2 linked regions of the Bombyx mori genome follow. The protein of the gene in region 2 purifies or fractionates together with the protein of the main gene of each other region. This does not show direct contact. Links are inferred from orthologs where the notes say so. Each region holds a gene or a part of one and is shown on either strand. Other genes may lie near its edges.

What was found.
Region 1: the proteins of tyrosine-protein kinase Abl (region 2) and neogenin purify together in Drosophila melanogaster (affinity purification with western blotting; 3 studies listed by BioGRID). This does not show direct contact. The link is inferred for Bombyx mori from reciprocal best matches to the Drosophila melanogaster genes Abl and fra.

What each region holds. Positions count from the first base shown.
Region 1 is NC_085108.1:149,258-153,085, forward strand, and holds part of neogenin, read right to left. Parts: intron 2,539-3,828; coding exon 2,338-2,538; intron 1,830-2,337; coding exon 1,679-1,829; intron 864-1,678; coding exon 748-863; intron 555-747; coding exon 408-554; intron 1-407.
Region 2 is NC_085107.1:85,996-89,823, forward strand, and holds part of tyrosine-protein kinase Abl, read right to left. Parts: intron 3,003-3,828; coding exon 2,852-3,002; intron 2,777-2,851; coding exon 2,620-2,776; intron 2,545-2,619; coding exon 2,447-2,544; intron 1-2,446. UniProt on the Drosophila melanogaster protein: Arm and Abl proteins function cooperatively at adherens junctions in both the CNS and epidermis; critical for embryonic epithelial morphogenesis regulating cell shape changes and cell migration.

The sequences.
Region 1 (3,828 bases), on a different chromosome or scaffold from region 2:
TTCATTCGTGATTTGGTCCTTGCTACCTGGTCCAGAGACAATAAGAGGATGAAGTGATATTACGCACTACTGCTGTGGTCTGAGTGGTCAGTGGTCACATGCAGGGGGCCAGTGCTGAGCCGCACGGACACTCGCTATATTTAGTAGCGGAGGGAGAGATACATGCAGAAAGGAAGCGACAACATCAGCGGTTGAAGCCACTTGAAGCAGATAAAATAACTCAGGTTTTTTTTAAGTACAATTTTAATGTAAAGAATTATTATCAAGGAATGACAATGTAAAATTAGATAATGTTAAAAAAGAGAGATGCCGGGACACGAGGCACGGGAAGCTGTGGACTATCTTACAGACCGGGACACTGAAAAGGTTGAGGACGGTTGCGGACTTACAGTATAACGTTAACTTACCGACATAGGTGGGCACGTAGTGTCTGCGGTCCAACGAGGAGGGAGGGGGGAGCCCCCTCGCCGGCTCGTACTCCACGGGGGGAGGGGCGGGGGGGCGCGGCGCCGAGCGGGGCAGGGACAGCGAGCCCTCCACGCTGTCGGACGAGACTGGGGGAAGGGGGGAGTAGTGGAGTGATTTTTTAAACTTTTAGACTAATTAAGCAATTGTAGACTTTTTTAAATATTGAAACATGTAATTAATTAAAATCTCGAAACTACACTTTGGTGTTGATCTATTTTATAATTTGCTACAAAACTTTTTGTTTGTCAATGATAAAGAGCTGACATGAGAGCCACTTACTCTTACTGGCGGACGCGTGTATGCCCTTATCCATGTGCTTAAGTTCCATCTGGTCGTGGTGGATCCACAGGTCCGGGGGCTTGATGCCGGCCGACGCAGAAGACTTTTGATACGTACTACAAGTTGAGGAAAATATTATGTATCATTCGTAACAATACGTAATATCCTGGCTTCGAAGCCCTGGCGTCGCGTCCTAGACGACGTACGTGTGCTCACCGTGTCTGCGGGTGCTCAGTGTGTCTTAAAAATAATCACTCTGTATGTACCATGCCATTTTTAATTGCCCAAAATAATGTAACAGTTGATGACGTGTACTTGGGGTCCAGTTTGTAGGTTGAAGCCTCTGGGTCTGCGAAGGGACCGCTGAGTTATGTATCGTTTGAGATAATCCTTTAATGTCCTTTTCCGAGCGAGGTTTATCTGGCATCACCCGGCTGTATGGGCGACGGCGAGCGCTTACCTTGGAGGGCTACGTGTTCTTCTGTTGTCGATAAGTTATGGACAATGTACTCTTATAATAAGAATCTACTAGGATACAACGATAAAAACCTCTGGAGGCTTTTAAAGAGGCGTTTCCAGTTTCACCAGGACAAGTGGGCGAGCAAAGGCTCAGCCAGGAGGGGTGGGATTTGAACAGCTGCCCGAGCGCCTCCGACCTCCTCCTAACCTAACCTAACAACTCAAGAGCAGCTGCTTCGCGAATGAACCTAATATCGGGTCGGAATCGCGACTCGCTGAGAAGATCTGGCGAGAAACTCAGCGGGCTGATTCATGGATTAGGTTGCACGTCGACCTCTTTACGGAGTTCGACAAGTACGGTTACCGGGGTCCCTAAGCCTGCTCGTAGTGTTAGAGTTGAAGGCGTCGAACGCAAAGGTTATTGGATCTGTTGGATCCGTAAGGACGTGGAACGGTTTAGTGCGTGCGTCACCTGGTGTCCGGGGACAGCGGCGGCTGCGAGCGGCGACAGCACAGCGACAGCGCCAGCGCGGCGGCGAGGGCCAGCACCGCGCACGCGCCGCCCGCGCTCGCCCACAGCCACGCCGACGTGGCGCTCGCCAGCCCTCCGCCCTCCCCCGTCTCTGCACAACGCGCTACGTCAACACGACCCGCCCCGCCCTCCTTACACATCGGGGACGCCGCGCCGGTACCACTAACGATTGACTAAATGAGTTCGCACTAAAACTACCAGCCTATTCCTGCCGTTAAGCAGTAATGTGTTTCGATTTGAAGGGTAGAGCAGCCGTTGTAACTATACTGAGACCTTAGAACTTATATCTCAAAGTGGGTAGCGCATTTACGTTGTAGATATCTATGGGTTCCAGTAACCATCTAACACCAGGTGGGCTGTGAGCTCGTCCACCCATCTAAGTAATAAATAAATAAACTTCTATCTGTTATTCAATGGTTATTACTATTCCCCGATATGGTCGCGTTAATCGATCTCCTATCTCGTTCTCTCGCACCTAGTCGCACTGGACTACCCGGTCCGCAGGAGTAGTCCGGTTGCACGCGGACACGAAGGGGCCGGGGTCGATGTTATTTTATGACCAATAAAAGTAATATAAAATATGTAGTTAGTTGTCGTACCCATAGCGGTGGTGTAGGTGATGGTCTGCGAGAAGGGCCCCAGTCCCTTGCTGTTCCTGGCCTGCAGCTTGATGCTGTACGTGGTGCGGGGCCGCAGCCGGTCCAGGCGCACGCGGGCGCGGTCCCCCGTGACCCCCACCGCGATCCACTCCGCCCCCCCGCCCGACACCGCACTCTGGGCCGCGTACATTATTACGTAACCTATGTACAAAAACACCCAAAATCATGAGAAGACTAGAAATCTGATATTGTTCATTGATTTTATGTTTTATTGTTTTTATTTATTCAAATACACCGGTGGTGGGACGTATTGTAAGCCCGCACGAGTGAGGCCAAACATACTACCCATTTATGGCCTAGAGAAAGTACAAGGCGCTGTTTTTTGTAAGCAGAAATAGACAGGATGATTGTAGCTACCCCTTATTTTTTATTGGACCGGGAGCCGAACCTCCAACGAGATCCCCATGCCTAGGAAACGCACGATGTTGGGAGCAAACCGCGAGCCCAAGTGCAGGGGAGTCATTTAGTGGGTAGGGTCCTAAATTCCACCCCATGGTAGCTACCCTGCGAGCTCGCGAGACTCCGCACTTTTACTAGTACAGTTAAGATGTGTTTATGCTGTAATTGGGTTGCAGGGTGAAGGGAACAGTTACCGATAACGAAAAAAGAGAGTACTTCTGTTGATATTATGCCGGTCACAATGACGCGGGGCTTGTGTTGTAGACAGGGCATAAATGAGGATTTAATTTGTAGACGCACGAGGTCAACATCCCAGGAGCACGAAGTTTCAAACTGATAAATGCACATACAAACATAAATATACAATGTTTATAGTTTGTGGCGGTAGCTATAATAGAGCATAAAATATTTGACACGGCGTTGACATTGATTTATATTTCATAAAGTCACACCCTGTACGCGGTTTAGTTACGACGCGAGACAGCAGTCTGTGTGACGGCGACCACTGTACCGAGGTTCGAATCTCGTATAAGACTAGACCATGAATGAACATCTAAATCAGCGGTCTGAGAACTTTTTTAATTATTACCCCAAAATATTGTTGTGTACGTTGATATTATCCCATGGCAAAGAACAAAAAAAAACCAAATCGCTTCTTTTTAGTATCTTTCATAGCCCCCCCCCCCCTGATAATCTTGAAAAGAAAACAATAACAAAAAAATTATTTATACATAATTTATTCAATTTATCAATGTAATACCTAGTAATATAATACATAACGGTAATAATAGTAATATATTATGCAATATACAGTTGAGGAAAAAAGATCACAGAAAATATAAGTAAATGATAATTACTTGTTATTTTATAATTCATATGATACTTGTCTTGTATTATTAGACGAAAAAACTACTTTAAATTTTATACATAGCCCCCATAAAAAACCTTTTTTTAATTTTAATGACTTTTTTTCGGTTTTTCCCCCACCCCCCCCCCCCCAAAAGTCATTTTTCCCCATGGGGTAATTTACAA
Region 2 (3,828 bases):
TAGTCCAATATCAATCTTGCAACAAGGCTGCACGCGGTTAGTTCAGTAGCACGACAAAAGTAAAGAGTGAGAAGAATAGATGTACAGTTTCCGGAAGTATTATTGTCTTTGGAAGTAGGTACAAAAATTAATGCATGCTATTTTCAAGTCACGTAATTATTTATATTGAGGGAAAAATATAAAAAGGATTATAACTTCACTATTTCACCAAATCTAAACTAAACTATCCCAAATCAGGAAAACTATAAAATGAACAGATCAAGTAAAATACTATTCGTCAACTATGAAATTTGTAGAAAAATGCACAATGTTTGCCAGTTTCGCAGCGTCGACGCAGTCCACTAACATTAGCATTGTCGGAACTCAAGTTGTTCTTGCTAAGCAGCTGACAAAATCACAAAAAAAATGTCACGTAGAGGGCTAGACTCAGAGGATGCGGGGCGCAGTCGAGTGGGTTGGTACCGTGCGTTTATCGCGCAGTAGTCGATTCGTTAGCCAGTTGCTCGAGCTGGCACACGGGGACTAGACCACCCTCCCTACACTTAGTCAGTTTGATAGCATTAGGGTTATCAGTGCAGACACTTGGTGGTGAGTCATACTGCTACTTGTTTTTTATTTTCTTATTATTTTTCTTTGCGAGTAGGCCGAGTAGATTCACTTCAACTGCTGTGAGAACACGTGGGAAGTCTAAGTCGCCCAGGTTGTCACAAATAGCGTCACCAGTATCCATAACAATTACAACGTGACAACGACAGAGCGGATGAGAGTGATCCTTTACTCTCGGTTCCTCAATGTTCGCGTATAACAACGCAGCTCCGTGTTGCAATATACCTACGCTTCCTCATTTTGTATCTAACTTAAAATTTTGAATTATAATCTACAGTTAAGTGAATTATTATTGTGCCAGCAGTTTGAGACAATGTCAAGAAGCGGACCTAACTTAAATATCAGTAATGTTTATATGTATTTATTAGTGTCAAATGATATATTCAAAATTTCCAGATATTGTCATTTTAAGTAAGGTTATTTTTGTTTTATCTAATCTGTTTTTTATTCTGTTGGCGTCAGACAGACAGTGGACTTTTCTTTTGGCATACAAAGATACTGTCTCCTGCGTAGCATTGAGAGCCTAGTCTTTTTTTTAAGGATGGAGGGATTACAGCCGGGTCGAAGTTGTTTCAGTTTCACAGACAGGATGGAGTCATGTACGACCTTAATGATGTATAGAACCCTTTTAGACTCATTACTCACATCACAATCAAACATCTCAATATTGATTTAGTACATATGTACGAATATACAGGGAGCATACGTGACTGTTCGATGAAAAAATTAAAAAACTAAGCGTCAAAATACTGCGCCGATGCCAGCTAGCAGGCTGTTAATGTTGGCGATGCTACAAATTTCATTGTTGACGACCCGTGGACGGCTCGGCGGCGCTCGTTCCTTCCTACTGCACGCCGGACGGAGCATGCAGACTAGGTCGCGGCGCGGTGCCGACACAGACTCGAGTGTGAGGAGCTACATCTTACACTAAGCAGGGATAGGGCTAGAGCAGCAGGTGCCGTGGAATACTTACAGAGCGCGGGCTCCGAGCGCTAGGCCGCTGCACCGAGACACGGCAAACAGAAAACAGTATCTTAGAGCAGTGTGTCGCCGGCGCGCGGCCTCAGAGCCTACTCGTCTTATATTCTATCTTACTTCCGAAGATTGAGTTATGGTACAATACGTACAGACATTGAGGACATTTGACTTTAGTTTTTTGTACATAAAAATATTATAACAAAAAGCATAATTGACGGTGTGTACACTTTTAACAAACATGAGTACTCTTCTTACAAATTTGAAGAACATTTCCATGAAGGTCTCTGATCCCTATCTCGAGCTGCGTGCGGTTTGTTGTATTTTTGTTCTTTTTGTCAATTTCATTTTAGAAATTATATAATTTTTAAAATAAATATAAAATTTAAAAAACGTATGTAAGTTAAACCGCATCTAATATTATTTATACATTGCCGTCAAGAAGATTCTGAATGAACTGACCATTATGCACAATACCTGCGTCTTTTAGTGTGAGGACCATTATTCTGTGAACTAGACTGGCAGTCGTACAAAGTGCCAAAATATTCAATCTTCAAAAATAAAAAAAAGACTTGAGCTATGTGCGTAAGTACCGCACTACAAAGTCGCCCTCGGTCGCGTGGGTCACGTGGGTCACGTGGGTCGCGTGGGTCGCGTCGGTATACTTGTAGTGCGTCATTTAGACGAATAACGTTATAGCGTCAAGTAAGCCGGGTATGAGTTTTAACATGGAACCTAAAAACAAACAAAGCGATGGCCGCTTCATTCCGTAATGAATATCCTCCGTGTACAGCGGAGGCGTACTATTGCACTATATCGGTTGTTGGAGTGCGTGACGGCGCGTGACGCTGCGTGAGACACTGACCGTTGAGGTCGGCGAGCGCGTCGGCGGGCGCGTCGTCGGGCGCGTGCTCGTCGGCGGCGTACTGCGACTCGCGGAAGGAGCTGCACGAGGACAGCAGGCTGCAACACGCGGTCGATGAGTATGTCGATGAGTGGCGGGGGTCGTGTTCAGTTACTTGTGGTCGGGTGCGCTACCTAGTGCGTTTGGGAGGGGTGGGGGCTTGCTTGCCGCGGCGGTTGGTCGGGCGCCGCATCTGCACCGCTCGAGGGTCGGCGCTCGTCTTCTTCAGCGACAGCAGCGGGGTGCCGGCGGCCTGCGCGCCGCTGCCTTCTTGGAGTTGTTTCTCTACTTCTGAAACACACCGTTGACATCTATAGCAGCCGCTCGCTGTTAGTACGAGTACATGTTGCGTAACGAGGCGCTCACCGTCTGTGATCGAGTTGTCCTGGAACATGTGCTCGAGCGCGTGGTGTATCTCGCGGAAGGAGGGCCGCTCGGAGGGGCTCCACTGCCAGCAGCCGCGCATGAGCTCGTAGACGGGCGCCGGGCAGCCCGGGGGACACTCCATGCGGTACCCCTGCGCCACCACATGCTTCCTTCGTTAACTGTTCTAACGCGCAGCTCCAAGAGTAAGCAATTACGTAAATGACAAAAAAAAAACCATCAAATGCGCAACAATGGTTTCTGTTTATCGATATCGGCTTATGTAACGATACGTGAAGTTGCGCGCTCGGCCGCCGCCCCGCCTCCAGCACTCGACGTGCAACTTCTCTCATTTCCATAAATTAATATTTTGTTTAATTTCTTGTAATTTGTACATATCTCTTAAATGTCTCCAATATTAAACTTGCAAAAAGCGAAACGATTTCACTCCCGCATTGATTAAAAGAAAATATAATGACAAATTGAAACTGTAATATTTTTCAATCAGTCACCATAAAATGTATAATAAATATTTGTGTAAACAAATAAATAAACCGATGTGTTGCGAGTCGACGAGTACAGGGCGTTCACTTAACAATTACCTACAAGTCTGAAAATGTCGCTTAAGAAATTCATTTATAACGTTACAATCGAATGAACTGTTTTATTCAACAAGCACCTACTGTATTATTGTGTGAATTTTGTACCATACAAAGAACATTGGGTTTTTTTTTTAATTACACCGGAACCTGTCTGTGGGATCGGCCACGTCTACACAGCGACGCACGAGGTCTTCCCGAACGAGGGAGCTTACCAGACTCGTTGCATCTACGCGTTCTAACCCCTCAGTACAAACTTTATGGAGAAGTATGTAATGGAAACTAGGTCGCTGTCCTTTGTATAATTTTATAATATAATATAAGGAGGTCACATGCGCGATCAACTAATATCGGATTTGTCCGTTTGTCGTAAAGTATGAG